Drosophila melanogaster: one gene and its partners. Changing the gene in region 2 together with the main gene of any one other region gives a genetic interaction. Each region holds a gene or a part of one and is shown on either strand. Other genes may lie near its edges.

Region 1 (8,089 bases), on a different chromosome or scaffold from region 2:
CAAAGATGCTGTGTCGAATCACAGGTGTAATCGTATGCCCAGCCGGAAAAGTAGAGCCAAAGCTGGCGCTAACATTGTTCAAAGGCTTTTCCAATTGTAATTGTAAGGGAATTTGGAGCGAAAGAGAGGGCGCATTCAACGAATGTAAGCGGCCAAACGAAAGACTTAGGCAACGAACGCGGCGCAAACACATTGTACGGAAAGAAATATTGATCTGATATAACCATACTTTTATTTGTATTACTACTTTAAGTGTAAAATCAAAGTTCTAATATTTTAGCTTCTTATTAAACAGATTAATTAATATTTGTATTTAAGTACAACAAGTGAACAGTTCACCTATCAAAATGTTATACAAAGGCATGCTAATACTTAATCTACTCTTTTTCCTGTGTATGTATTAATAAGCAGCCAACAAAAACAAAACGGACGCAAAAGAGCAGCAAAACAAAAAGAAACACACACAACAAAAAACTTAAATAAAAGAAGCAGCAGCAACAGGCAGCGACGCCGACGTCGACGTCAACGTCGGAGAAAAACGATGAAAAAATGTACAAGTAAAACCGAATTGTTTCCCACGGCATACGATTTTGCCGGTCAACATTGATGGTTAAAACGAGGAAAAGAGACAGCGCGAGAGGGTGAGAAGGGGAGCGCTTGGGCGAAGAGCGAGAGAGCAGAAGTAAAAAGGTGTAAGCGAATAAACGCCAGGTGAAGAAGAGCAGTGCATGCAGCCATATTGAAAGATCGCCAAAAGAGAGAGAGAGAGAGAGGCCCCAAGCTATAACAGTTTAGCGCAGAGCGAGAGAGAGCTAAAGCGGTAGTTGTTGTTGTCAGCTGAGCGCAAAAAGAGCAAAGCGTGACTTAAAAGTGAATTGGAGTCGCGTGTTTGCTGGTGTGTGTGTGCAAGCTTACAAGCTGCAGCTGCCAGCTGCTCCAAAGAGAGAGAGAGAGCACGAGAGCGAGGCTCTCCCAGAGCAAAAACTTGTTTTCAACGGCGCTTTGAAGAGGAGCATAAATATGCGCAAAAAAGCACAGAATAAGAAGCAGGCAAAATGAATTAATAGACAATCAAGCCAAACGATGCGTCTGAATTAATAAAAGAAATACAATAAAAAAGGGAAAGAGAAAGAGGGAGAAAAACCATTGAGTGGAAGGAAGGTTAGAAAGGTGGGAGGCGGCGGGCAGGGGGGCGTGTCCAGTGGAAAGCCAAACTAAACTAGACTATAAACAACAAAATGGGACAAACGAAAAGCGCACACACAAACAAAGGCGCAGAAGTTGACACAACATATACAACACAAAAAAAGCAAGACAAAACAACAAGCAAATCAATTTGCATAACACCAAACAAACATTCACACACACTCTAAAGATGGTGGGAAGCACAAGCAAAACAAAACAAAAAGTGCAATCGTTAAAACCACAATAGTTTTGTCCACCATTTGACACCAATTTTGGTTATAGTTTCTCACACTGTTTTAAAGTCCCTCCAAGTATGCGGTTAGTATTAGCAAGCTCTTAAAGGGACAAGTAGTAGATAATATGATGAATTAGCATTTAAAAAACATAACTTTCGTTCTAATAACGTAAAATATATAATATATTTCTCTTTGATCTAACTTTTCCGACTGTTTTTATCGTAATTCCAAAATGTTGAATGCTCAGTTACACCTTGCACAATCCGCCTCATAACTTTGGCATATGTACACTGGTAATGGTTCTCCTTCCGCTTTTTGTTTGCCTTTGCCTTCAACTATGAACTCCACAGCGGCTGAATAACCGAAAGGTAAAACTTGTGGGGGGGATCTACGAGGGGGTTTCGCCAGGTGGAACTTGAAAGCTGGAGCTGCCAACCTCTCAAATGGAAGACAGACACTTGTTAAAGTGTTAGAAAATAGTGCGTTGCATTGTTTACCTTTTGCTTGAGCCATTCTTTGTCTCCGTTTCTCGTTTTCTTTCTCTTTACTGGCCACTACTCCTATTTTTACTGCGATCACTGAGGCTTGAAGCGACTAGTTAGTTAGTTCTTCGTTTCTTTTCATTTTTTGCCATTTCCACGTCAACTTGCCTTGACTGACAGACAGTTGTTGTAGAAAAAAAAGCAGGGAAGAAGTTAAAACAACACAAGGGGACATAAAAATGTATGAAAGCACGCATTTTTATTATAATTTTCCCCGACTTTTCCTCGACTTTCCTACAGGTGTTTGCTTTGGTGCCCCTACCCTGCATGTTGTTTATTAATCATTTAAATTCATCATCATAATCAACCGTTAACAACGGGCTTGGGAAACAGTTACAAGCGCAAGTGAATCATCCATCGCATTGTGTGGGAGTAGTCGTCGTCTTCCTCTTTGGCTTCTAAATTGCAATTAATTATGTTATGCGAAGAAAGAGCAGAGCCGAGAAGACTACGAGTGCTCCCCCACGAGTCCCAGTCTTCATTCATTCATTCATTCATTCACTCACTCGCTCACTCACTCACTTCTTCGACGCTCAATGTTAATATGAAAATTGCATAAATGCGAAAACAAGGCGACTACGGTTATTTGATAGTTAAATTGAAATTTAAACGCAGCATGGGACAAGAAAGGGCCAAGAAATTGTGAGAATAATACCTTATAGAATGGGCAGAAAATTGAATTAAATTGCATTGCTAATGGCAAGCTAATTGCCCGAGATATTATTTTAAATGACAAATTAAACTATTCCACCTTTCCCTGTAAGTAAGTAAGGAAATGAGTCAGAATTATTGGGCAGATGTTTCTGCCTACATACGGGGAGCATTTTCAGCAGTCCCAAGACCCCAGGAGGTTGGCGTCGAGACACTTTTTTGGGACGTTGTTAAAATTAGCGACTAAATAGCAGACTGCAAAAAGAAGCTGGTCGAAGAGTGAAGTTTAAGCACGCAACGTGCCAAAGTTGGGAGAAAATCAAGAAGTGCGGAGAGCGGTAGAGGATTGGAGCACATGCAGGGTGCACGGTGAGTAAATGGGTACTATTATCAATAAAGAGCTCCCTATCAGCTTAATATTGTGGATCTAAGTTGTAATTTCTTCGTAGCTAAATAGTTCTGAACTATGAAATGTATACTATGTACACATACTATGTATGGTCAAGATTTATTATAATTTAATATTTTCTTATCTTTGAAACTAACCCACACATTAACAACAAAATATTTAGTGTTATTTTCTAGAGATCGCACTGTTTGGAAACCCTGCACAACTCTTTTTTTTATCCGTGTAACCAGGGGATGCTGGCGTTAAAGATCAATGAAAGCATGACAGAAGAGAAACAACGCAAGGAGGGGAGAGCAAGTGAGGCTGAGCATGTGTCGCGTTGACCTACGCAGAGCGAAAAGTAAACCGAAAAAAATCGCATGTAAAAAGCGCATGCAAAGCGGAGGGACAGAGGAGGAGATGACGGCGAAAACGGCAGATGTTGCCCAGCATCATCAACTTTTTAGCATGGGCTTGTAGCACAGCATTACTATATAGCCTCATATTGAAATCGAGCAGTTTTATCATTTTTTGCTGCTGCTCTGGATGCATACGCCGTTGGTGGTAAATTTTGACGTTGAGGCAGACTTGGATCATCTCTGTTTTTACACGGAGAACAATTAGTACACATAGTAGGATTTCTAAGAAGTTGAACTGATCTGCATGTCAAAAATTATCTTGAAGGTATTTCTTCTAACGTATGCCTCATATTTTTCCGCTGTGTACTAGAATTAAACCATTTTTTGGGGATGGACCTGTTTGGGCATTGGCCTCGCATGTTTCCAAACTAGTTTTGCTCTATGAAATATGTATGCATGTTCCGAAAAGGGTGATACGATCCGATCCACAATTTCCACCCCTAAAAGCCAACCCGCTTAAAATATCAACTCAGCTGTTTCTACCCAAAAGTTCTCGGGTTACCAGCTTGAAAAATAAGTTTGGAAGCAAACGCGATGTTGGAGTGGTTTCAAAATAGATATTTTGAGATGATCATACGGAACCCCAAAAGTTTTAAAATATTTAGTAACCTGGCAACCCTTCAATCGTTTCTTCCCTTTTGGCCCCACACACACACATGCGCGCACAACACACCAGCTGCAAAATTCAGCGGTGAGTGCACGCGTGCGCGTAGAAATAAAGAAAATAAATTGCCAAAAAATACAACTTGTTGGATGGAAAATGAGCGCTTTTCCTGGGACTGAAACTCACCTGCACGATGACTGTGAAGCAAATGAATGCTGTTAATAAACATTTAATCCAATGCATGTTTATTGATGTTTTTGTTGCTGATTTTTTGGATTGAGTGTCGCTTTTAGTGTAATAATCCACGGGCTGTGTGTGTGTGTGTGTGTGTGCGGCAACTACTCAAATTGTTTATTGTGTTTATGTTTTGAATTTTTTTTTTGGTTACTTGTCGCACATGGTTTTGCAATTCGCTTTTAGCATTTTCGTTGTTTTCTTGTTGTCGTTGTTGCAAGCTACACGTGCACGCGCCACATTTTTTGTTGCAATTTCCTCGACTGTGTTTATTTTTAAGTGTCGCGAAATAAAAGCTCTTTTCGCGAACTGCGGAGTCTTCTCCTTTTCACGCAGAAAAGCGCAAAAGGGAAAAGCGAGAGAGGGAACTAACGGTGCCGCGATTCTTAATCATTCGCGATTTTTTAATCTTTCGGAGGAAACACTTCTTGTTATTCTGTTAGAAGATCTTTTATTTTGATTTCTGGTTCTGGCACTTTTCTTTTGGTACATTCAAATATCGAATGAGAACTGCCCAGAGTCGCGGTAATCTGCAATTCTTAAGTGAACTATTGCATTGGCAGTTCGCGTCACACACCGAATATTTGGTCGCGTTTCGAGTCGGGGACTTGTGTTTTTCAAAATGCCTTGGCTGCGGAGCTGCCTTTTTCGAGTTATTCGCGCGGCCGAGTTGAAAAACGTAATGCCGTTCATGTCCACGACCAAAACACTATTCACCTTCACCGCCGCGAATCGTACTAAAAAATACCACGAAACGTACTCGCTCTCTCATTTCTCTCTTTCGCTCTCAAAACGAGTTCCGTGGCAAAATTAGTGCATTTCAGCAGATGCAATGCAACAAACCGTTTTGAATAAATAGTCAACTTACACATTTTAAAAACTATTTAAAATTTCAATATACATTACCAAGTTTATTTTGATATAAGAATTTATTATATTGTTTAACTTCAACCGGACGGGTGTTTATTTGTACAAATTTCCAAGATTGTCTCTAAATAATCTTCAAAATTCGGATTTTTTATTTCTAGATATTCTACTTTTATTTTTATATCTAAAATAAAACAAATCAATTCAATTCGTTTACGTTAGCAACATTTGATTCCCCGTTTTGCTAGCAGTTTCAGATACCAGTTGGATACCGGCTTGTAAGCATTTCGTTAGCAACATTTGATTCCCGGTTCGCTCAATTTACCGATTCAGCTCACGCGAAAGTTGAAAGCAAAATGCTTAGCAACATTTATTGTTGCCAAGATGAGAACCAAAAATAAAATTAAAGATGGATATTTGTATTTAATATAAATATTTGAATTTTATTATATTGGGTGCTTATAACTTATTGAATTGGCATGCAAGTATATCTCCATCATCTTCATTAGCAGGTACGTCATCAGTCTTAGGGTCTTGGTATTTATATTCCACCAAACTGCCGATCCAAGCATCCAATGTCGTTAGTATGATCAAAATCGAATGAGTTTCACTTCGCTAAAAACAACTTCTGCTGAAGACGTTTTCAGAGACGGAAAATGCATCATCATATGAATTTTTTTGGCTCTGATAACTTCTCCAGGACTGTCGCTCTTATGGAGGTGAAACTCCTTCGAGTTTGGGCATACTAAATTCATTGAAAGAGGATCCATAAACTACATATTAATTGTCCAAGCTGCTCGGTGGAAATTGCTGAAGATACCATCTAGCTAAAGGTTTGGAATCTCATTAAATATGATCAGAATGTACAAATATTTACAAGCCTCTGCCTCAAAGATCCATTGGCTCGGAAATACCATCTTGTGATAACATCTTCACTGCGTTGCATATGTTTGCTCCACAATAACCAAATGAACTAGAATCTCTATTGAAATAAACGATAAATAACTATATAACCAAACAATATTTCAAAATCAATAAATTTTGTTCTAAGCATTTTGTGTAATAGTAATAATTTTTAATACTTGCATTTATTTTCAACGAATATTAAAAAAAATAAAAATAAAATTTTTTTTTTGAATCCAAATATTTTCTAGTTGATATAGGACTGCCGACGATGCCGAATCGAGCTAAACTAAATATTTTTATGAAAATAGATTGAATATGATGTGTTCGCCTACTACGATTTCATTTTGGCTTTACAATTTTAAATAGCTGGCCTGATTTTCCAATTTGTACTTCCATTCTATTCTGTAAAAATCTTAAGGTAAAAATGCTAAGTCTGTACACCTATTTATTTTATTATTATTCCTAACAAATCATTAGATTCTTCGGTGGTCTCTGGATCCAAACTTTCGTTAAAAATTGATCCAATTACTTAACGAAAAGAGCAAGATTAATTTGATTCGATTTTTTGATCAAACATTGTAAATCACTCGAAAACAGCAGTTCATTGAAATGGTCTGATAAATGGGTCAGCAAGGCAAAGGGCTGAGAATAACATGGCCAGAACTCTCTTCACGCGAAATAAAGTTGTTGAAATTTGTACAATAAAAATCGGTCTTCATTAATTTGCATCGAACGAGGGACATTTGCATATGCATGAGACCAGGAGGAGACCAGACAGGAGACCCCAGAAAACGAAACCAATCAAGTCAACACCCAATTTTACAAGGAAATGCGGACCAAGACCCCGAATTTCTCCTGTCCGACTATAAAGTTCCCGCCGCGATTCCTTTTACAGTGAAGTTTCTTTAAAAGTGATCAGAAAATATATGCAATTCCTTCATTATTTGAAAAAAGAAACAAGTATTAATTTTAAAATAATAATTTTAGTTTGGCATATTTTAATAATAGTTTTATAATATGTATTTATATGTATTTTATCATTGACTTTTATTAAAAATAAGTAAATATTTAAAGTGTTACTATGTTTAAGTATTATCTTTTTAGAAACTACAGCTTACTCTCTTATTTCTAAATTCGTGTAGTTTATTTTGCAGACATTACTTTAATCTTCAAAGCCAATTCACTATAAAGATGTCCAACTGTAATGGCAATATTTAAACAAACATATATTTCGCGCAATAAATTTGACAGTAAAGTACTCGCACCGGGAGTTTTCAAGCCATGAGAAGAGTGAAAAGTTTTTAAATTAAACACAAATTTATGATCAAACAACGGCAACGGCGAAGTGAAAAAAATGAAAAGGAGCAGTGAGAAGAAAAACCTGCAGGCTGTGGGGCAAAGTCAAACGGCAGCCTCTCGATCGCCGGAGCGCGCCGTTTAACCCCCCGAAGCCCCTTAAGGCCCCTTTAGCCCCTTGATCCCCTTTAGCCACCCTCCCGACTTTTAAAGCCAAGTTAGCACCTGTAAACCGGTTGGCTGTCGGCAGGTAACCGCGTGGAGCTGGGAGCTCCAACTCCGAAAAACAGATGTCCTGCTGCTCCAAATTGAAAGCGCAACATACATCATCCATCCTTTTTGCGTGCACCCTTCTGCAACCCCCCCCCCCCTGTTAGCCGCTCGGCGGGTCCCTTAACCCGTCGAAGGGCGCCGTGCAGTTTGAATAATAAGGCAGCAACAACAAAGAAATTGGGGTCATGTACTTGGCCAAGTCCACCAGACAGGCAACATCTTTCACTTTGCAGCCTCTTCTGCGCATCCTCGCACCGCCCCTCCATTTACCCTCCGATCTACACGTATTTTATGCATATTTTTTGGCCAAGAGATAGCGTTTTTTTTTTCTTGGCCCTCTGTGGAGGCTGCAAAACTTGAAAATTAGTCGCGTGGCTTGTGATAATCGGTGGATCCGAGAGGGGGCCTTTAAGATCTGGAGGCGGGACATGCTCTTCATATCGGGTGGAGCGTGTGTCGCTCATGATCTGTTTATAGTTCAGATGGAT
Region 2 (8,149 bases):
CTAATTGTAATTTATTTGATTGATTTATGGAATGAATAAATATTGCCACAGCCAATCGCAGACGAGTTTCGCAATAAAACGGAGACATACATAAGTTTATCAAGTGACCGAAAATGTTTTCGTCCATTCAACACGTGGATCGCTCTATGGATGATTATAATATTATATGTGTGAATTTTTCCGAATATTTCGTAGCTCATCGAAGTAATATTCAAGCTTAAGCTGATATTTCTTGGTCGAGATTTACAACTCTTAATAATTCAAAATTGGATGGCGTTGGCTGAAAGAGTTAATCCCTCTGCACCATGAAATCTGCCTATAAAAATAAATCCGAGGCACTGCGGCGATCAAAATCTTAAGCAGAATCGTACCCGCTGCAAATAAATCATGACGCTATTCGTGGGCGAATTGTCTTATATCTTTGTGCAGTTGTACATATGTATGTACATATATCTTGTAGGTCCGTAGGTGTATTTGGGATCATCTGCTGAGTTGTCATCCGCTCGCTCAGCCACCGAAATGAACGGAAACAAAAACGTTGACACTCGGACACTGATGACTGCAGCTCGCCACCTACTTTGATAATTTATAAAAATATTCATAATATAATATTTGCAGTTTTAAGCTTTCCTTACACCATTCAGAGCATACTTATTGAGTGGTTAAGCAGATGATAGCCTGTTCACGCTCCTCTAATTAATTGTCCATTATTTGATTTGACGTTTTGCCACTTTTGGATTGCGTCATAGTGTTCAATTAACAGTGGAAAATGATATGGTCGATTTCCTCGACTATTAGATAGGAAAGCGATGAAAATTGTTTTTTTTTAGAGTTTATATCATTTATTATTATTCATAAGTCAGTAGGAATCGTTCAGGAAAATATTTAAAAATTTTCTTGGCATATGGATAAAATGCCAAAAAAAAAACGGTCAGATTAAAAAATATTGAAAATCCAAACAATTTCTAACATTGATGGCGTGACAGCATTTGGGTGTTTTGTTGACGTTAGAGGGAGGAGTGGCCAATAATAAAAAGGCAAATAATAAAAATAAAATCACTAATAACTAATTGTCCCTATACGATTAGCATAGTGCAAATGAGAAAAATGCATAGGAAGCACATACTGCAGGACATTCTGCGTGACAATAGTCTCGAATGCTGTTGTAGCTTTAGTGAATTCGAATTCCACATAATAATTTATCAAACGAATTTTAATGATCGAAAGCATAAAAAATTAATGGGGCGCAGCAAAATCAATAGATGACCCATCGCGAAGAGATCTCTCTCACAGTGAAGGCAGGAGAAAGAATATTTAATAAAAATTCCCAAATCAAATTATAGAATCGTAAAAGTATTTATTACCACGGAGACCAAGAGGACTCAGATGGGGATGATACTGGAGCCCCAAAAGCAATGCTCCCGCCCCAGCACCTCTTCTTTAGGTTTGAGTGGATCCACGTGATTTGATTATTATCGGTTAATTGGTGGATCGTTAAATCTTTTACGATTCGTTTCTCAGCCTTTAACGGAGCCCGTTCTGGGAGCAACAAGTGCAGCGAGGATTCCCATTGGATGAAGACTCAGTAAACAATAAAAACAGCGGCAAAAGCAGAAAAAAACGAGCGAGTTTTTCGCCATTTTCGAGTTTTATGGCTCCACCAGGCATTCGTCAAATATTGGTAGATTTTAAGTTCGGATTTTGATAGTGTGGGTTTTTCGTCCACTAATGAAACTTACGCGCAAATATGCAAACCAAATCATCATGTCATCATTAAATCAAAGAATAGAATGAACACCCTTTATAATAGGAGTCATATGTCGAAACAAAAATTGGTATGGTTAAATATTGTATATGCAAAACGAAATTTAATTAGCCTCAAGGAATTTAATTGCATACCAAAGTTATAAATATCGATAAAAACTGGCAAAAAATTAAAGAGATATTATTTGTACATATGTATGTATGTATGTACATGTACTTTACACTAACGCATGTCTCCCTTATTGTGATGCTAACTTCTGACTTAAATCAATATACAGCTGTGTTCATAAAAAATAGCAGTGCTTTGCACCTGCGAGTTTAATATAGAAAAATCCTATGATTTACAGTTTTGATGGGCTTTTTTTTATAATATCATTAGGTATTTAATTTCCAACAATTCAACAAAAATTTCACACTTATTTCTTTAATAGTTTTCTAAAATATAGATCAAAACAACATAATAGGCAGATATTCTGGTGTTCACTGAAAGAGCAGTGCAATAAAAAAATATTAACAAAATTCAATTTGACTTAAAACTAACAGTTTTTCTTATTAATGTGTTGGATAGCCTCTGTTAGCCACCACCTACGCGGCTTGGAGTCCACCAGGTCCTGGCAACGTTTGGGGGGAATTTTTGCCAATGCATCCTGCACAACTTGCCAAATCTGAGCCTTAGACGTCGGGGAATTATTCGTCACATATTGTATAATGTCCCCCCACAGGTTTTCAATCGGGATTAAATCGGAAGATGGTGCTTGCCACGGCATTGCATCTATTCTATTTTGGGTGAACCTTTTCTTAACCGATTTGCTTCTGCCATTCGGATCATTATTCTGTTGGAATTTCCATTTTAAGGGCATATTATAATAAGAATATGACAGTAAGACATCCCTTAGTATATTTACACATGCGTTTTGGTCTATAATACCATAAATCATATGTTATGGACTCATACCATTGTAAAAAATAAACAAGCCCATACCAGTATTGCAGGTCCACCGTGATTGAAAGTCTTCAGTGGGTGTTTTGGGTGGTACTCGGTGTTTGGAGGTCGTCAGATATAACCATATGAACCAGTTCCACCAAATAGCACTATTTTTAACACATCAGTCCAGGGGATATTACGCCATTTGGAGACTGGCCAGTTTAGGTGGGTTTTAGCGAAGTTTAACCTTGGCTTAAAATGCCTTGGGCTAAGTAGGGGCACCTTTCGTGGACTCCTCGCAACTAAATTTTGATTCAGTAGTCGTCTCCGTAAATATGCATAGGAATCAAGGCAATGCTCGGTTACCGGTTGATAATTTTATAGAATAATGTATATAATGTTTTATAATGTAATGTATTATAATGTATCGAAAGTTACTATTTTATACGTTTGTCAATTTATGTGAAAAAGTACATGCAATATATAAACTTAAGGTAACCAGGGTCGGCACAAAGAAAAATATTGTAGATGCACTTATTAGACGTGATCTTGAGTATTAATGATACTAGTATTTAAATAGTATTCAATGCTGTCATCTTTTAGACTGTATAAAGGCACTTATTAAACCAAATTTGTACTTCATTCGGCTTTATACTTTCATATGTACATCAATGTTCTTACACAGCCTTACATTCACGCATTCACAAACATTGACACCTTGCCATGAAAACTAATAAAATCGCGGCATTTTGGCACATTTTCAGAGGAAAGAACGGCCGGAGTGTCGCTAATTCAATTGTTTTCGCAGCCAAAAAGAAAAGTGGAATGGGTTGATTTCAAGTGAAAATTGCCCCAAACCACTTTTCCACTTTTTCACTCTCCTACTCGCTCGCACAGCAATGCAACGAAACAAAAGAAGCGAGATCCACGAAGAAGCTGCAGAAAGGCGAACAAAAGTTGACAGCAGAGGGTATGAAGGAAGGTGAGCGAGAGGGAAGAGGCTAAAAGTGACGAGGGCGAAAAGCTCAGAGAGCAACAACTACTGTTTATTTTGAAAAGAAATAAAAACAGAGCAGGGACCGACACAGTTTGAGTGGCTGCGAGCAGGACGGCGCATGCGAGTGAGAGCATTTTTGTTAAACTGTCATAAATCTTAATTGTGATGGAATCGGATTCGGAATAGGACAAAAGAAGGGTGACGAAACGACAAAACAGATTTCACACACTTTCGGAGCAAGCGAGACGGAGCGGTCCCACAACGCTATCTCTTTCCCTAGCGATTTCCCCTGTTTCAGTTCCAAGCGTTCACTTGCCAGCACAGGGGAAAGTCTGCGCTCTTGTCGCTCTCTCTCTCTCTTCTCTCTCGCGCTCTCTTTTGGCTACCCATCGGTTTCGGGTTCTTTTCGCCAAGAGTCAGTCAGTCGACAAGAAACCGTTACTGCGTACGATCGTGCGAAAAAGCTCGGCGCACTTGGAAAAATCGTACGGTAATTAGTTAGCCGAGTGCCGGCGAGTGCGAGCGAGAGAGTAGCACATTTAATCACGCTGACAGCCAGCTTGTCCTGCAAGGGTGTGGGTGGCACACACGGCACACACAACACACACACAAGTGCGCAGCCGTCGCCAGAACGCAAAATCGAATCAGAAATTGCCGTCGCCAAAACGCGGGCTTCGTGTTTGCTCGTCAACAGCAGCGCAGCTTCCAATCGCTGCGCGTCCGTCGCGTCGCTTCATTTTTTCATCCGTATCAATCAGTGAAGGCAGAGCAGCAGCGCCCCGTTGTTGTTGTTTGTCAGCTTGACAGCGACGGCAGCGCAGCAGCAGCGCACCGGCAGAGCACCGCAGCAGAGGCTAGTGACGAAGGAACCCGGCCAGCGGGATTCAATCGCCTTTGGACTTTCGTTCGAGTAGTGACGACGAATCCGGATGAGAAGACGCACGCATCGCGACCCGCGGTTCCGCCAGAACAGTGAATTCTCAGTTTAAAACGCGTTTTTGGGGGAGGATAGAACGAGTGTTTTCCAGGCCGCCATCATATCTAGTCAAAGAAGCAGAGGTTTGATACTCTCGAACGCAAATGCTCGATCAAGACTGAAACATACGAGAAACATACAACTACAAATGGTTCAACAAAGTATACGTAAAACTACCACAAGCTAAACAAAATATACCACAAAAATATATTTATTACCAAAACTAAAGATAAACTATTGCAAATATTTACATTAAACGGTATTTAATTCACCAAAATTACACTACATACATAATGTAAAGCCAGTTACTTAAATCAACAAACCTTAACGAAGTATACGATTCAATGCAATTAATAAATTAAATTTAAATCAACACAAATTAGGAATTAAAAATACAAACGCCTCGAAACGTCATTTTTTGTCTGACATACGAAAGTTTATAAATTACAAAATCCAAAAAATATAAATTAATCAGTTATACGCTGCAACAACAACAAGTTATACTACAACGTACCAAGTGCAAAACAATAGATTATATGATCATTGTGTCAAACTAAAGTTAAGTTCCAAAATCCAACTAAAATCCTCGTTGTTTGCTCCAAAAAGAGCAAACCATCCAAGTTCCAGCAAACCGTCAAAATTCAGCAAAATTTAAAAATGTTACACGAGGCTCTGATGCTCGAGATCTACAGACAGGCGCTAAATGCCGGGTAAGTGTTATATGGAAGATTATTTCCATAGAACAGTGAAAGATGTAGAATTAAGAAAAAGATTCACATGGCCTTATTCGGGGGATTCAAAAATGTGACTACTCTGGGTATGAAGGATAAACGAACTGAGATTTTACTACCAAAGTGCATCAAAGTGTTTTTCATTATGAAATAGTGAAATATTGAATTCTTAACTAAAAGTGGCCATACTCAAAATATTCACATATAAAATAATTACATTCATCTCATTCAGTTAATATTATTTTTTTGCAATTGCTTTTTATGTGCGTTCAAGTATCTGGTTAAATAGAATATTATATATACCAAGTATATACGACATATATTGAATATAGAACGTTTTCAATCAAAATCAAAAACCATTGTCATTGTGAACTGATAGCCGAACTTGTTGAAATAGTATTGCAGACTCTCAACCACAAATCGGCCAAATAAATATATCAAGAAACTATGATTTCATGGCATTTGATGATTGGCATTGGCGGTTCGGCGTAGTCGCACACCTGTCGTTATAAATTCAGCGCCTCGCCAATAGCGCGCCCATATATCACAACACCCACCCGCAGAACCAAGAGTACTGAGTTCACGACTACGAGTCCAGACCCTCGGATCGGGAAAAGCAGAACTTGATTTGAAAAGGGTGGCTGGCAGGGGAAATCCGAAAATAACAGAAAAATCGCCATAGTTCGATGATGGGATACTAACTTGGGGTAAGCGTTTGTGTATCTGTATCTGGGTTTCTCTGAAATTATGATTAAACAAGTTCAAGATATTTTTCGAACTCGCTCTCGAACAGTCACTCGAGTGAGCCTGAGTCTGAGCAAATTAACTGAAGGCTAAAAACGGGTTTTATGACACTATATTTGCGGGGGCGAGGGTATTCGGGGGTGCATCTGGAGTATTAATAATAAAGTGCGACAAATTGTCTCGCTCTCGTTTGATTTGCATGCAGATACACACGAATTTTCAAGATTTTCCAAGGCGATGACGTAGTCGAATTGAATAAATCATGCGAAAAAGTGAAAAACTCAAAATACGCTACGCTCTGCTTGCCATCTTTTCCATTCTCCACCCCCTCCAATTTCCCCGTGTGCGCCTATTACCGGAGAGATTTATGTTCACAATTTGCCGCTGGCGTGTGCGTGTGCGTGTGGCTGTATCTCCGGGTGCATGTGTATGTTTAGTAATATTTACTCTGCTACCTTAACGGATTTGTCGTGCCTTAGATTTGCTTTAACAGGGACAGTGTGTTGTATTCGGCACAAATAGATATACTGTTATTAATAACCTTCATTTCGCAGTATATAGTAAAAATATACTAGGGAATAAACATTTTAAACAATAATTCTACTATAAAAAAATTCAGATCGGTCAACTCATATTTATTTATATTCTCACCTGAGGTCCAACCAACTCTCCCATATCACACCAATGGGTGTACTCCCACTATTTTAGTTAGCCTGAGCGTTACGGGTGCATATCAATATGCAACTCTCTCGATTATTAATGAGACATTTCAACTTGTAATTAACTGCACTTGCTGGAGTTGCGTATAAATCATTTTGATTTAAGCCTAATCGAATAACGAGATTTCAGATTATGATATGCTGGCGGAGAAAACTCGTTGCCAAGTATTTTATACTAGTCAAGCAAAATAATGGAGAAACGAGCCGCTAAATGGGTTGTTTGCGGGCTCAATCGCCCCTTGCAATCTGGATAGCTAATTAGCGGTGAGTGATTGCGCGGTGTGTGTAATAACTATCTTTGATAAACTGTCACCTGGCAGGTGACTGAGTTCAAAATAAGCTGCACATGAATCAGATTTTGTTCCGACGTTCCTTAAGATATCATCAATATTGCGCTAGGCCGGATTTGTTAGTAAACAATCCATCAATTAAACACTGACTTTCTGATAGGGCCCAGTGACAAAACTCCTCCGAATCAAACAACTTAATGCCGGTTAAGAATTTCATTTTTCGGTGAACGATCGCTCGTCACACAATAGCACATGACAATTACTTGATATTCGACGCTTCGACCAACTTAGGCAGATTTTACAGGCTGATTTTCACGTTCAAATATTGATTAAGTTTGGTTATTTCCGTCCGTTTCAAATGCAAACCCAATCAGCAAAGCACAATGCGCACCCACACACAAATACAAAGTTATTATATAGAGCTATCATCAAAAATTTATAACCTTTGCATATACTTCAAAGTTAATCAGACAATCATTCAAAATAAGCTAAACGGAATCCGCTGAATTATGTTTCTGTGAAATATTTTCTAAGCAAACAATCGGTGCTATAAAAATTATAAGTGGTTTTGATTTGAATGTTACACACTTGAACAAATGTAGGAAATAAAGTTTAAAGATTCGGTTTCTCTGATGGCAAATTATTTTCCTTATTCTTTTTTTTGTTTTCTCTGCTATGAGGGCAATAAAATTTGTTTATTCCATCTCTATTTATGCACATTTTTCAACAGCCCAATTAATTTATTCAAACCATGAGGAATTTGTGGTCGGTCAGCCAAACGATAATTGCCTCCAAGTTTGTCAAATACTTGAATCTCTTCTCGGATTCCGATTTTTGATTATGATCGGCATTGCTCATAACGCACGCCTAAAGTCTCGAATTAATCGCCATTGTTTCATTTGGATTTTTACTACCCATGTTGGAGGGGGGTGTGTGTGTGTTGCCGACTAAAACACATCTGCGTGCGCAAGAGTTTTATTTTTTCTATTCGGGTTTGCCTTAT
Region 3 (6,488 bases), on a different chromosome or scaffold from region 2:
TGGTTCAAAGCATTCGTGCTTCGCTCCACGGTGCGTCTGTTGATCTTCACACTCATCGAATCGATGCAAACGTTGTCGATGTTGTGCGCCTCATCAAAGACCACACAGGACTCGCGGCTCATTTCCTTAGATACCACCTGGGCAATTTTCGGATCTAATAGATAGTGGTAACTGTATACCACAATGTGAGCATGGGCAATCTGGTAAAGAATGCAAGATATAGTCAAATCTAGTCTTGAAATTTTCAAACGAAAAAACTCACAGCATAGCGAGCCAAAAAGTAGGGACACCAGTTGCGCGACCGACCGTATTCCTTAAGATCATCGATGCTGTAGACGCCGACCGGCAATGTGGACTCCTTGCCTTCCAGGCTAAATCCCTCAAAGTACTGGCCTACAAGTTCGCAGTTGAAATAATGGTTACATATGGATAACAATAGTCTTACAAATGGGCGTCTCGGTGTCCATCTCGTGCCGTTCGCGAATGTAGCTGGCAGTGAGTCCGTAACATTTACCGTCCACGGCCTTGCCCTCGCGCTCCTTACTGACCTCCGGATGGATGCACATGTTCTTCCTAGAGCTGAGCACCAGACCGGTGAAGGGTGGTGGATTGGGGCAGTGGCGCTCGTAGTAAACCATCAGGTTCTGCAGCTCGGCGATCACTTTCTCGATCTCCGGAACAGTACGCGAGCAGTAGATGAGCTTGCGCACCGTTTCCGGATGCTCCACCATGTAGGCAACGATCAGGGAGAGCAGCGTGGCCGTCTTGCCCGTTCCCGAGGGCATCTCCAACAGGCAGTGGCCCTTGGCGTCCAGGCTACGCTTAAGTTCCAGCATGTAGGCATATTGTTCCGGGTAGATGTACTCGTACGGAAAGTACACCAACAGGCCGTCCACGCTGAGCCTGTGGACTGGGTTGTTAAAGGAGTACTTTCATTTATCCCGTTCTGCCACTTACTTCATTATTCGCCTATTCCGGGATAATTCACAATTCCCTGTGCCGGCAAACTATCGATGGTACTATCGAGGTATAGAATTTGTACCATCGTTATCGATGGGGCTGTGAAAAATTTGCATGGATTGAGTACAAGTTTTGATATTTTTTTGGTCAACTTCTTTTTATTTTGTAACTCTGTGAACAGCGTAAAAATATTTGATGTTAGAGCAGAAATCTTATTTTTAACTGTTTGAAAATTAATAATAACTATTTAATATCTATGCATTTTAAAACTAAAAACATCAATTTCAGTAAGCAATATCTTATAAGTTTCGTTGAACAGTGTAGTAATATTTTTAGTATTTTTTTCTAGAGCATTGTGGTTTTTTAAACCCTTCAGCGAGGGTTACATTAATATTAAATACTAAAATTTAGACCAAAGTTTAGTTGCTTCAGTTTATTTATTTATCTAAATCCCACATATTTTCATAGCATGGACGACTTAAATCCGCTGGCGGGCACGGCTCACCTCCTGGAAGAGGTTGACAGTGAGTAAATCCGAATGAAAGGAAGGCCAGTCGTTGAAAACCGGCGCATTGCAGAGAAACTGATGGTACTTTTGAGAGACGGACGGACTCTGATTGGATACCTGCGGTCCGTGGACCAGTTCGCCAACCTGGTGCTGCAACGCACCATCGAGCGGATACATGTGGGCAACGAATACGGCGACATTCCTCGCGGAGTCTTCATCATTCGCGGGGAGAATGTGGTGCTACTGGGCGAAATAGTAAGCTTTACTCGATACTTTTTCAATATGACTGATTAACACCCTTTAAATATGCGTAAAAGGACCGTGAAAAGGAGCAGAAACTGCCACTCAAAGAGATATCCGTCGATGAAATCCTGGACGCCCAGCGTAGGGAACAGGAGCAGCGGCAGGAGAAACACCGCCTAGTATCCAAGGCACTAAAGGAACGAGGCCTGGCCGTAGATGCCAACATAATCAACGAGGACTTCTGCTAAGACTCCATTTTTTCCTAAGCACAAAGTTAGATTAAGCTCAAAAGATTTTCGTCTCTTTGTATATTTGTACTGCATTAAAAAACTATGTTAAAACCTATGTACATATTGCATGCAACCTGCTTAGCCTGATCCGCCCGCACCCGACCCCTTTCCGCACTCCTCGAGCAGTATGTACTTCTCTAGAATCTGGTACATCTCCACCTTGGCCTTGATCTTGTGCACGCGCGACAGTTGGCGCAAATACGCGGCAATCGACTTGCAAAAGAAGTCGTCCTCTGTTTCGCAAGTCTTTTGGGTGATGACGGCCGTGGGATTGGGTAATTCTGGGGCGGAATGCTCTCGCTCCTGATTCGCATTGGGCGGCATACAGACCAAGTAGTTCAGATCCGCGTGGTTAGACTCAATAGGCTCAGGTGCGGACGTCGCATTCGGAGCAGCGATTTCCGGATGAATTGTGACCACCTTGACCTTTTGCTCGCACTCCGCATCCCCCAGGAACTCATCGAAGCTCTCCTGTTCGGGCTCCTGCCCATCGTCCGCCTCCACGACCACCGAATACGTCTCCGATTGTGTGGTATGAGACTCCAGCTTAGCGTCGTAGTCGTGTTGCTCCTCGCCCTCATCGTAGGCGTGCGAACCTTGCTCCTCGATCAAGGTCTCTGTGTCAATAGGCAGGCGGGTACGACGCCGTCGCTGTAAATCAACCTTCATCCACCCGGTTGGCTTTTGTTCCCGATCCCGTTCGCGTCCTCTGCGCTCGCGTCTCTTGCGCACAAAGTCCCGCAGGAAGTCCATCTTCCGAAAGAAGTCATTGTGACCAAACTCGCCGGACGGATGCAGGCGCTTCTGCTTAAGCTCCCGCGAATAGCGATCCCGCAGACACGTCCACCGTCGCCGAGCGTCTGAGATGGAGATGTTTAGCAAATCCGCCACTTTTGCCCAGTCCTCCTCTTTGCGCTGCGACAGCCGAAAGGAGGGCAGCTGGGGATCGTACAGCGACGGCGTCTCGCGGATGGTTTGTATTAGGAGGATATCCGAATCGTCCAGAGGACGGTGGTTTGAGCTCATTTTAATTTGTTTAATATATGTTTAATATTGACCAGTGTTGCCAGATGTATTGTCATCGACACAATGCTAAAAAGATCGACACCGCCGATAGCGATTATTTTTAAAAGGTAGTACATTTAAGAAGATTTGATTTCATTTAAATTTATTTAAGGTCATTTTTATTTTGTTGTCATTATTTTTTTATATGAAACTTTTGGATTCCATAATGAAAATTCTATTTCGTTTTATTTTTTATAAATATTTGGAAAATTTTTTAATACCGAAACGTTATGCACCACATACGGTCACACTGCCATTAACAGCACAATTTCCAGAAATGCCTTGAAAATGTCAACTTTACAGGTCTGGCAACGCTTCAGGCTTTAGGGCAGCCATTTTTTTCACGCTTTGTAAAAAGTTTTTTTAAAAGCCGTGGAAACCGCAGAAAGGTCGAGAAAATTGTTTTTCGCCAGTTTTAAACGATTGTGTTGACCAACCAAAGTATGCAAAACTAAATATTGTGTGTGCGTGCCGTGAGTGAACCAAGCAATTGAACATGGAAACCGTGGTTGCCTTCAACAATGAGGTAAGCTATAGATGCATTAGAAACGAGGTTCGTTATGGAGCAGCCGGCGTGGTTGCACAATGTCCGCTTGAAGTCGGTATTCGGATTGTCCAATGTGCGGGAGGTATACAGATCCTGCTGGAGGCGCAGGCAGAGCACCGAACAGCACCGCTCAGGGTTGCTTTTTGGCCAGCACCCGATAACGATAACTCCATGTCCCAGATATCCGTAAACTATAGCCGTACTGTAACATCTATATTTCTCCTTAGCTCTCCGGACTCTATGACAGCCGACCGCCCATTTCCAAAGCGAAGATGGCCGCCATCACCAAGTCGGCGATGCGGGCCATCAAGCTGTATAAGCACGTCGTCCAGAGTGTGGAGAAGTTCATCTTGAAGTGCAAGCCGGAGTACAAAGTACCCGGGCTGTATGTAATCGACTCGATAGTGCGCCAGTCGCGCCACCAGTACGGTATGGACAAGGATCTGTTCGCGCCCCGATTCCAGCGTAATCTCACGGAGACCTTTGCCAACTTGTTCCGGTGCGCTCCGGAGGACAAGAGTCGCATCATCCGGGTACTGAACCTGTGGCAGAAAAACAACGTCTTCAAGTCCGAGGTCATTCAGCCGATCTTCGACCTGGCCGACCCAAACCACCCAATCTACCACCAGATGCCTCCGGTGGGTGGCAGTGGAGGACAGGGCGGCGGCGTGGGTCCAGGACCCAGCAGCAGCGGTGCTCTTAGCCTGGCGGACATATCGAGCGGTCCGAACGGTCTAAACAGCTCCGGAATGGAGATAAGCATGAACAGCTCCGGGGGCGACGATAAGATGGGCGGTGCCATGCCCGACTTGTCGGTAAGTGATGCTTTCGGTTGAGGCTTCTACAGGTGTCTAGTATTGGATAATGGCTTAACTAACATCGTCTACAATTCTGCTGCATTTACATTTCTCTGTCTCTCATGTCTTGCCCACTAACCGCCCATTTTGCCCTTCGCCCAATCGCTAGCTGGGCCATGAGAAGTTCGGCGGTGGCAGCAGCAGCTCCAAGCGTCACTACTCGGAGCAACACTATTCCAAACGACAGTCGGTGGTCTCGTGCTCGTCGAAGACCAGCAAGTCGCATCATCACAAACGGGAATATGTCAAGAGCTCGCACGACATTGACTACCAGGTGCGGGAGATCATCGAGGAAGAAGATGAAGGCCTGCAGATGCTGATGGCAGATGATCACCACTGTATGGGCGACGACTCACCGCCCACTTCTTCAAACCTGTTAGACGTATGGCGAACCCCATTAACACATCTCTTCATTTAGATAGTTTTGTTTATCTTAAGTTTCTATTTGTTGCTTTTGTTGCTCACATTAGATCGATCCCATTTTGAATAACCTTTTAAATAACTCTTTCAGGAGAAGAAGATCAAGCAGCTGCTAAACAATCCGAATGTGCTGCGGCAGCTCCATACGCTGCAGAACTTCCAAAATTTGAAGCCGCAGGAGGAGAACCAGAAGCATCGCTATCAGGACGAGGCACTGCAGCAGCATTTCCAGAACGTAATGAAGGTACATCTTATGATTTCATGACGATGTACATATTTTCATTATGATTTGCTTTCAGGGAAATGCTGGTATGCCGCCGGGCATGGGCATGGGCATGAACATGAACGACAGCATGGACCTTAACAAGGATGTCGAGTTCATATCGGAGCAACAGACCATAGAGGTATACCCTTCTACTTTTCCAATCTATCTTAGTTCCTGGGGTCCGACTTGTGTATGCTTTTCACCAAGACTTCGCCATTAATTTTGGTCTAAAGTATAAACATATTAGATGTAAAACGGGTGATACTATTTGCCTTGTGCTGACGTGCAGTTAATCCTGGAAATGTGTTCAATATGTTGTTATAGCTGATGGGATATTAGCGTGTTCGAATCCAAATTGATTCAACTAGTTGTAACGGGGTGGTCTTGCACTATTTAATCAATAACTTTAATACTATATATCTTGAATATGCAAACAATTCAATTCCCAATCCATTTAAAATTAAATTTTATTTTGTTGTAAAAAAAATGTTTAAAATCAAAAGATGATGCTTTTGGGCAAACCCTAAATCAGTTTCATAAGTCGATCTATATGTCCCCAACATATATTTGAACTATAAAACAATTGCCAATATTTGAATAAGTCGAACCAATAGTAAAATATTTAAAAAATATGCAAATGAAGCCAAAGGTAAGGTTTTAAAATCCACATAATATCCGGCGGAACAACTCGTTACCCGATGCTAGAACAACGTTTGGTAAGTTCCTAATATGTAAATAAAAATGTTGCTCGAAAACGCAAATTGCCAATTAGTCCGAAATAACTAGATGAATGAAAGTCGAAAGCGAAACAGAACCACACGTCAACACACGCCAAAGAATGCAGTTTATTGAGTCGATAATAACGTATTCGCCCTGTGGCCAGCCACTAATCCCGAATCCTCTCTATCCCACTGAACTTTTTTTTTTTATTCTTAACAAAATTTTTATCACGTATCACTCTCAAATTTCTTGCAAACACTCCCATCTCCGATAGGTGATCAATCTGGATGGTGGCGATTCCCGCAGCCCGACGCCCGACCGTGATCGCTACAAGCGCAGTCGCCGGAACAGTCGCAGCCGGACGAGATCTCCGCGAGGACGTGGCGCCGGAGGAGGCACGGGCAACGATCGACGTCGGCGTGGCACTCGTTCCCGATCGCGCAGCCGATCACCACGGTCCAGCCGGCGACGCGGATCAAGGGACCGGGATCGCATGGATCGTAGCAATCGAGACAAGGAACGCGATCGGGAACACGAGCGTGAGCGGCGCAAGAAGGGATTGCCCGACATCAAAAAGGAGCATCTCAGTGGTAACTATGACGGGAATGATAAA
Region 4 (8,733 bases), on a different chromosome or scaffold from region 2:
CGTTTCTGATCTTTTCCATTGATTCTTCTCCATAGTTTCTAGTTTCAACTTCTTGAACACCTCTTATCTTTCATAGATTAAAGATTATATAACTGTACTGTTATAGACTAAGTAAACTTTGGTACTGTTGGTACTTCCTAATCTGATTTAGTGTTCCATTTCGTTGTGTTCTTTTGACTTTTGTGTTGATCTAGCTGTTGTCCACTCCTCCCGAATTGATTCCCCGTTCCTATTTCTTTTGTTCCTCATCCCTTCCACTTAACTACGTCCCTAGTTGGACTTGACTACGTGGGAACGATCACCTGAACGATCAAATCGCATAGATGCCAACAGTTCCGATCTGCCAGCACAGTCTCCACCCTTTTGTACACAGAGAAAAAAAAATGCGATGCAACAAATGTTGGCTAAGTGATAAGAACATTATGGTATACAAGAGAGTATACCTTGTTCATTTAATGGCAGCTAGTGTCTATGAATATTACTTTTCATAAAGTAGTGGAATATTTTTCGCCTTGTGCATGACTAGTGGGTATCCCGTGGGGTCTATTTTGTCCGCAAATGTCGCAAAAATTCTTTGGCAGCGATCGCTCGGATTTGCCTTTTGCTCTGCAGAAGGGAAAGCGCGTCAAGTGAAAAACAATGAGTATGCCGCTCTGTCTCAAGAACCGATCCCCCAAACCGATCCAATCCGATCCGATCCGATACGATACGATACGATAGCTGCCGTCTGTGGCAGTTGCGGTGGTGCTGATGCTGATGCTGATGCTAATGCTGATGTGGATGTGGCTGTGGATCGCAGTGGTGCTGAATGCTGCGGCTCGGGGCTCGTGATTGGCGCACACATTGGCAAACGAGAGCACTTTATTTTTAAACGTTTTAAAAATACGATCATTATAGAATTTGCGGCTTAGTCATACCCCGCCGTTGAAATGTGCCAAGCGAATTTGACCAGAAACCGAGTAGCTCGCGGAGGGCGGTGGGTGGTCTAGTCTGTGCGTAGGGGATGGGGGGGGGGGGGGGCAGGGGGCGTGGCACAGGCACTCGAAATGGAAAGCCCCAAAGCCTTAAGCTATGCCCTGACTTGAGTGACTGACTGACTGACTGACTGACAACCCATGAGTTGTCACAATGAGGCACGCAAATAACGCACACACATTTGAATGGCACATTCGGTATGATCGCAAAGATCAAACGGCGATCGGTTCTATAAATGGGGCCTTAACCTCACACTGACAGCTAAGAAGAATTGCGGAGCTAAAGGCAGGTCGATTTTTCTCGAATCTAGATTATCCCAATTGATGCGGCGGGGGTGTATTGATATTGATTTTTTTTTTTTTTGAACCCAGAAACCAAAAAAGATCTTATAGATAGATCCCTGAAATATTTGCAGTCATCTGAAAAGCAATGACTTCATTCGAAACCCAACGCAAATGCAATGATAAAACCAGTTTAATTTAAAGTTTTTTTAGTTTTCTGTTGTTAATTTAATCAATTCGTTTTCCTTTTGATTTTGTTGTTTGTTTGTTGTATGGTCACACAATTATTATTATTATTATTGTTGTTGTCAAATGTAATATATAAAAATACTGATTTTATATATATACATACATTTAGATATATATATCTCTTTCTCTATGTATAGGCGCATTTAATATTTCCCTTGGCAATGAAAAAAAAAAAAAAACGTTCTCCTCTTGTTTGTATATAAATATATTGTATATATGTATATTGTATATCATTATAATTAACTTTTAAATGTAACCCTTAATATTACGTTAAATTTCTTGCTCTCTTTTGTGTTTGTAAATATATATTTATGTATAATATAGCTGTATATTCAATAAGCTTCAGTTTTCAACAATTTTATTAAAATTTTGTTTTGTTGTTGTCATATCACAAGAATTTTCAATTTTCAATTTCCAAATAAAAAAAGTGTGTATTGTAAAGGTGTGTATTTGTTTCGTTTTTAAAGCTTTACTCTTAACAATTTTCTCAGTTTTTCCAGTTGCATTTTTCACATTTTCTCTCTTAAAATACTCTCCCACAAGTTATACAAATGAAATGAAGCGTTGAAATTCTTAAGCAAATTCAATTGTTTCGCCTTGTTTCACTTTTTGTACACAATTATTTACACAAGCTAATACAAGAAAAAAAAAAAGAAAAATCTGAACTTAAGCTTAATTTGTTCTTAGTGTGTAACCAAAAAAAAAAGAAGGGTTTATACCTAGGGTTTGGGGTTTTTTTTGCTGATATGCTTGGAAGATATATGTTTGCGCTTAGATATACAATTTTTTATTAAGGTAAACTTAGGTGGTAGGGCTAAAAAAAACGTTATTAAGCTTAAATATGGCTTAGGGAACTAAAAGGCCAGGCCCAGTGACTGCCATTATAACATCCGATTGGTGGGATTGCTGCTTCCTTAGTTTCTATTGTGTGTGTTGTTTGTTGTGTGTGTGTGTGTGTGTGTGTGTGTGTGTGTTCTTAGGCCACCAGGGTCAGGTTTGTGGGCGCAGTATCCGCCACGAGAATCAGTGGTCGGTTGACGGATGATGTCCTCGCAGTGGCCAAGGACTCCTGATCCAGCCAGCGCTGCAGGTGCTGCTGATGTTGCAGGTGATGCTGCTGTTGCTGCTGCTGCTGCTGCTGTTGCATGTACATCAGATTGTCGTTGTAGACGGCATGCAGCTGGAGATTGAGGCTGTAGTTGCTGCCGCTGTCGCTGTAGGTGGATGAGCTGCTCTCGTAACCGGAAACGGGCGATCCTTTGGGGCAACAGAAGCCGGTGGGCGAGAGGGCGGGCGCCGAGAATGGGCTGAGGGGCGTGGTGGCTTTGCTGGAGCTGCAGTTGTCCTGAAATTGCTGATTAGGACTCCCGCCGGCGACGGGAAATGTCTGCTGCTGTTGCATACTGGTGGGGCACTGAAAGCTGCTGGTGATCGAACTGCCGGGCGATACACAGCCACCGGGATACGGATGGTTGCTCCAGATGATGGGTTCCCTTTGTTCGTTGATTGCCGATGGCTTTTTCTTGAGGCGACGCTGTTTCTTGTCGGCCGCCTCCTTGGAGTCCACCTCATCATCGTCGGCATAGCGGGACTCTTCCTCGTCGTCCTGCTCCTCCTCGGCAGCTCCCTCATCCAAATCCTCCTGCCGATGGTGATGGTGATGATGATGATGATCCTGCTCCTCATCATCGTCCAGCAAATAGGGCTTAAATAGCTTGACCTGTTTAGAGGGCAGCTTGTGCTCCTCCGGCTGCTCCGTCTCCACGTCCACCTCCACATCCTCGTTCTCCGTTTCCGTTTCGGGCTCCTTCTTGATCACCTCCTCCAGCTTACTAATCTTATCCGGCTGCATCGGACTAGTGATGACCTTACGTTTGCGGAAAGTGAGATCCACACCAGATGGATCCTTTTCGTGCAACTGCATTTGACGGCGGGCAGAGGATCCGAGAGAGAGGTCCATGGGGGCTGGTGTGGCAACCGCCTCCAGTCGATTCTCCAAATAGCCATGCAGATTGTGATGGTAGGCAAAGGGCACATGTGGAATGTGACTGGCTGACGATGTGGACCCAGGGGATCCGCTCAGGATTGGCACTTGTATTGGCACTTGGTTGCTGTTGCAGCTATTGCTGCTGCTGCTGCTGTTGTGGCAACTACTGTTATTGCTGCTCGGCAATGTGTTGCTGCTGCTGCTGCTGCTGGCGGGGATTGTTGCTGTCGGTGTGGGATTGCCATTGCTGGTGGCCATGGCGGCGGCAACAACAGCGGCTATTTTGGCCGCCGAAAGGACATTCGAGGATCCCTGATTGCTGCCATTGGTAGCAATGGTTGCAGGTGTCTCCTGCTGTGACTGCTGCTGATCCTGTTGCTGCTGCTCCTGCTGCAACTGCTGCTGCTGCTGCTGTTGCTCCTTCTGATGCTGCATTTGAGGATGCATTGCCACCGGGACATGCAAGTGGGGATGGGCGGCCAGGGGGTGTGGAACCATGCCATTGGCTGCCAGCAAATGGTGGGCGGCATGATGGTGGGCTGCTGCTGCTGCTGCTGCCGCTGCTGCTGCCGCCGCTGCTGCTGCAGCGTGATGATGATGGGCGGCATGATGGTGGGCGGCATGATGATGATGATGACCCACCGCGGCGGCGTGATGGTGATGCAACTGGTGCACCAGCGGATGGCTCAGCTGATGGAACACCTTGACCGCCGGTGTCGGCGATACCGATTGCTGTGGGAGTAGTTGCTGCTGCTGCTGTTGTTGCTGCTGTTGCTGTTGCTGCTGCTGCTGCTGTTGCTGATTGTTGGCCACCGATGATCGCAAATTTGACTCGCATTGCAACCATTTTTGGATTTGCCGGCGGTGAATGTTGTATTTCCTGGCCGTGGCCCGTTGATTGCCCTTGCAATCATTATCATTCCTGTATGATTCGAGGACTTGCAGCTTAAAGTGGGGCGTGAAAATCCGACGACTTCCCATTTTGGGGCTGCCCGAAGAATTGCCATTATTTGTGTGGCTGTTTGTGGCATTCTCCGAAGAATCCTTGGGCCGCTTGAAATTCAAAGCTCCCGATCCGTTCAACTGTTCGCTGCTGCTATCCATGATTATGGTTTATTTTCGTGGCGTTCTTTAAAGATTGTTTTTATTTTCCCAAGATTCTGGTCAGTTTTGTGTGTATTTTTGTTGATTTTAATGTAGCGAAATAATAGTCAAACAAGTGTGTTTTGCAGTAGTAGTAGGTAGTAAGTTTTAGGTGCTTTTGTTGTAGCTGTTGTTGCTACTTGCGTGCGACGCTTGCGCTTTCATAACTCGCGATCTGGCAGCTCTGTCCCCAAAGCAGCGACGTCGACTGCGACGCGTCTCACATACACACACTGGCACACACTCGCTCTGATACTTTTTGGAGTTTATTTGAAAGCACTTTTCAAAATCCGTTTCAAATCTATATAGTTGTGTATATTTCGATTGGTATAGATCGGATAAATAAAACACAGTTAAAAAAAATATATGTCTGCGTGCTGTTGCTTCTTCTGCTCTTTTCCTTTTCTTGTTAGCTACTTCTCGTACGTTTTACTACGCTCTTCTCATAACTCGCGTTTGCGATCCGCACGGCAAGGAATCCAAAACACAATTGTTCTGCCCTCGGCGTTCTAGTTCGAAGATACGTTCTAGACTGCCTCGCCTCGGCCGGCGTCGCTGCCGGCGCCGCCGTCGACTGCGGTTCACTCTGAAATGCTCACGCACACAGGCGTAAAGTGCCTGCCTGTCTGCTGTGCGCTGCTGTTGTTGTTGCTGCTGTTCGTGTGGGTGTTCGTGTGCGTGCAGCAGTGGGAGAGAGAGTGAGAGGGGGAGCTAGAGAGCGAGCAACAGAGAGAGAGCGCATGGCGCTGAAGCTGAGCATTGCAGACAAACTGACGACAATCGTGTCGCGAGGTGTCTGCGCTTGCATGTGTGCGTGCTTGGAGTGCAAGTGCGAGCGGGATGCCATAATACCAGTTCCCTTTTGCGGCGCTTTTGTTGCTGCTGTGCCGTGCTGTGCTGAGTTGTGTGCACGGTGGGACCGAATGGACAACATGGGACGGAGCAACCCATTCCCCCGTCCCTGTGCGCCACAGTCTTTGTCCACTCTTTTCGATTGCCACAGTCACCCGACTGACTGACTAACTGACAAACACCGCGAACCGCACAGTGGGACCAATTCGTATGGCTTTTTTTTATATAAAAAATAAAAAAAATATTATATGATACCTAAAAACATGGAATAGAACAAATCAAAAGATAACATTTTTAACAGCGAGATAATATAACACATTTTCTTCTTCTTTAATAATTAAAAAACCCTTTATCAATTTATAGGCCATCGAGTCAATAAGTGAAACGCGTTTCAAATTCTTCTATCTCTAAAACATTGTTAGCTATCTGCCAACAACAGATTATTGTTTTAAACATAAACCCAAAGTCGACAAATGTTCGCACTACTTGGAAACCATTTTTAAATTCTGTTTACAAAAATTAGTTTTTTACATGTATTAGTAGGCCCACACTTAACCCTTTGCTGGCAGCTTTTTGTGCCACTGTGTCGCAGCACAGTTTGTTAGCGGCTGCGGTTGCTGTTGCCGTGTTGCGTTGTGTTGTTGTTTCTGGCTGCGCTACAAATTCGCTGGCTCTGCCAGTTGCTCATACAGATACACACACGCACACACACGTGTGCAAAAGGCACCTTTGAATGGTGTGCGTGTGTGCGCCAGAGTCGTGGCTGCCAGACATTCTGGCACTGCCACTCCACACGCCGCCCTCCCCCATACCCCTTCCACATCGGCCAGAGCCCCCCACCCCTTTTGACCCACACCCCTGTGCCCACGTCCCCCGTCAGCATACACACACACATCCGTAGAAACCGCGCAACAGATCGTCGAACGAACTTGTTGAGCGCCGCTCTCTCGCCAACCAAACCGCCCGCTCTCTCTCTTCCTTTTGCTCTCTCTTGAATCAACTGTTGAATGCATTGCTGCATTTTTTATATTTTTACACACACATAGAGCCAGACGAACACAGAGGTTTCCAACTATCTTGGTTTTTTTTTTACTCGTTGTTATGGCCGTGGGTGCATATATACCATATAGCTTTAGCTTATTTCTGTCGACGTTGCCGCCGTTCTGTCTAAGCTTAGAAAAATTGAAAAAATAAAACAATGCAACGAAAAAGAACTAAAAGGGCATGCAATAAGTGCAGCAACAATATGTGTACAAGAGAACCTCTCCGCACTTGTTGCAAATGACAAACCGAAATGCTGCCTCTGCTTCGTTACCAGCTTACTCTGCTTCTTCTGTTCTCCTGCCTCGGCAAAATCTGGATTCATGAATGAAACACACACACACACTGCCGCAGACACCTCGCTCTCTTTCGCTATTTGCATGCGTGTGTGGTTCTGTGTGTGCGTGATTTTTTTTTGTCGGAGACAGTGGGCTGCTTCGCTTGCGTGTGTATGCAAATTTATGAAAATAAAAATAGAAAAAATGACATAAAACAAATCAAATATATGGTGTTGTTGTTGAGCATCAATTTGCGCGTGCGGTATGGTAAGATGAAGTGGGAAAGGGAAAGGACTAGCGATCTTTGAGTCACCTATGTACCTCTTACAAAAAAAATAACAAAAACCAGCAAAAGAAAAAAAGCAACAACTATACATAGATATCTGGGGTTCAGATTCCCACGTCTCTGCTGCCCCCGCCCCACTGTACCCAATCCCAAACCGCCGCCCCCGCCACCGTCCCACTGTGCCCACGAATCAAAAGCCGACGACGGACTGTCTGGAAAGATCAAGGAAGCTGGAAAGGGACGGCAAGACAAGATGGAGCCTGCGAAGCGCCTGCACAAGAAAAAAAAGAAATACAACAAGCGGGAAGAACAGCGAGAAATAAACTTCGATGCACTGACAAAAAAGGGCTTAAAAGGAGCTCTAAAATCGGTAACGAACTTAAACCTAAAAACTAAACTAAACTAAAAAAAAAGTTAAGTTCCAAAGTAATAAATTGAAAAATTACTTAAAATTCAACAACTAAAAAGATTTAAAAACAATAGATATTACTAACAAATATCATACAATATTAATATTAAAAATTAATAGAAATTTTGAAAAAATCTGTAAGACGCCAAAGATAAAACCCTTTAAAAAAGGCGAGAGAAATACATTTTGGAATTGCATTTCCAAGTAAAGCGGCCACAAACAACCCAAAAATATGCCGAAAAAACGCACACACACTCGGCCCGAAAAATTCAAACGACAAAAAGTTCAAAAGCAACACACACACTGGCACAGAAAAATCAAAAGAATTCCACTTTTTTTTTTATTTAGACCCCGTCGGCTTCTAAATCGATTTATCAAAAACAAAACAAAAAAAAAGAAGCGGAAAAGACGAAGGCAAAGAGATAAAAATTGAATATAAAAAGGTAACGTAAAAATCGAAGAAACCTATACACACATCCACCCATACCCATGAATTGATTAAAAAGTTGAAGAAAAAAAAAAGAAGTATAAAAAAATTGGGAAAGGGAAAGGGCGCGGCAGCCGACGAAAAAGGAAAAGAAGGAGAACGACGTGCTGGGGCACTTATGATCTCCAATCTCGTCGAGAATGGGCAGGAGATGGAGGTGAAGACGGCGGTGGCGGAGACGGAAGACGAGTGGTAGGAGTAGAAGAACCTTAGGTTGCTTTTTTTCATCGACGCTGCCGCCGCGCTGTCTGCGTTTGAATAAGCCCACACAAACAAACAGACTAAAAATGAAACAAGGAGAGAGATGTGGCAAGGAGAGGAGAACGAGCGCTTGAAGACTGAAGAATCGCAAGATGGAGCCCCAAGAAGATGAAGCACAAATGCCAGGATACCGAAAACTATACCAATCTAAACTCTTGAAAGATATGACGCTTTGCGTATCCTAGCATTAAAAAGATCATCTTGTAATCTATGTTCAGGATATAGTCGGAAGGAAAGAAATTCTGGATATTGTCCTTTGAATGTGTTCAGGATACGATCGAAAGTTCAAAGTTTGTGCTCTTAACTATTATTTTTGGACAGTCTTCTATCTTCCCAAGAAATCGTATGACATCTCTTGTGGTTTATACCCACACCTTGTGCACCTTCTTATGCATCTGCACCGAATTAAAATAAGAAAAAAAACAAACTGTAAATTCCTCAACTATGAAGGCAGGCATACTCATTTAGCCTATGACTAAACGGA

The links.
Region 1: of tsh (region 2) and Delta, changing one enhances a phenotype caused by changing the other (phenotypic enhancement), as found in Drosophila melanogaster (one study listed by BioGRID).
Region 3: of tsh (region 2) and hng1, changing one suppresses a phenotype caused by changing the other (phenotypic suppression), as found in Drosophila melanogaster (one study listed by BioGRID).
Region 4: of tsh (region 2) and brk, changing one enhances a phenotype caused by changing the other (phenotypic enhancement), as found in Drosophila melanogaster (one study listed by BioGRID).

Annotation. Positions count from the first base shown.
Region 1 is NT_033777.3:19,321,271-19,329,359, forward strand, and holds the start of Delta (delta), read right to left. Parts: upstream 4,948-8,089; 5' UTR 4,269-4,947; coding exon 4,212-4,268; intron 1-4,211. UniProt on the Drosophila melanogaster protein: Acts as a ligand for Notch (N) receptor. Essential for proper differentiation of ectoderm. Delta is required for the correct separation of neural and epidermal cell lineages.
Region 2 is NT_033779.5:21,824,487-21,832,635, forward strand, and holds the start of tsh (teashirt), read left to right. Parts: upstream 1-4,106; 5' UTR 4,107-5,319; coding exon 5,320-5,372; intron 5,373-8,149. UniProt on the Drosophila melanogaster protein: Homeotic protein that acts downstream of Arm in the Wg cascade during embryogenesis to determine segment identity throughout the entire trunk.
Region 3 is NT_033778.4:21,165,536-21,172,023, reverse strand, and holds hng1 (hinge1), read right to left. Parts: upstream 3,095-6,488; 5' UTR 3,028-3,094; coding exon 2,080-3,027; 3' UTR 2,014-2,079; downstream 1-2,013. Other genes in the region: Xpd (xeroderma pigmentosum D), read right to left, coding at 1-200, 263-393, 446-903, 958-962; LSm1 (uncharacterized protein), read left to right, coding at 1,430-1,484, 1,539-1,723, 1,786-1,959; Isha (insulator su(Hw) mRNA adaptor), read left to right, coding at 3,563-3,592, 3,841-4,428, 4,580-4,852, 4,982-5,134, 5,190-5,294, 6,150-6,465.
Region 4 is NC_004354.4:7,304,336-7,313,068, reverse strand, and holds brk (brinker), read right to left. Parts: upstream 5,131-8,733; 5' UTR 4,597-5,130; coding exon 2,482-4,596; 3' UTR 1,937-2,481; downstream 1-1,936.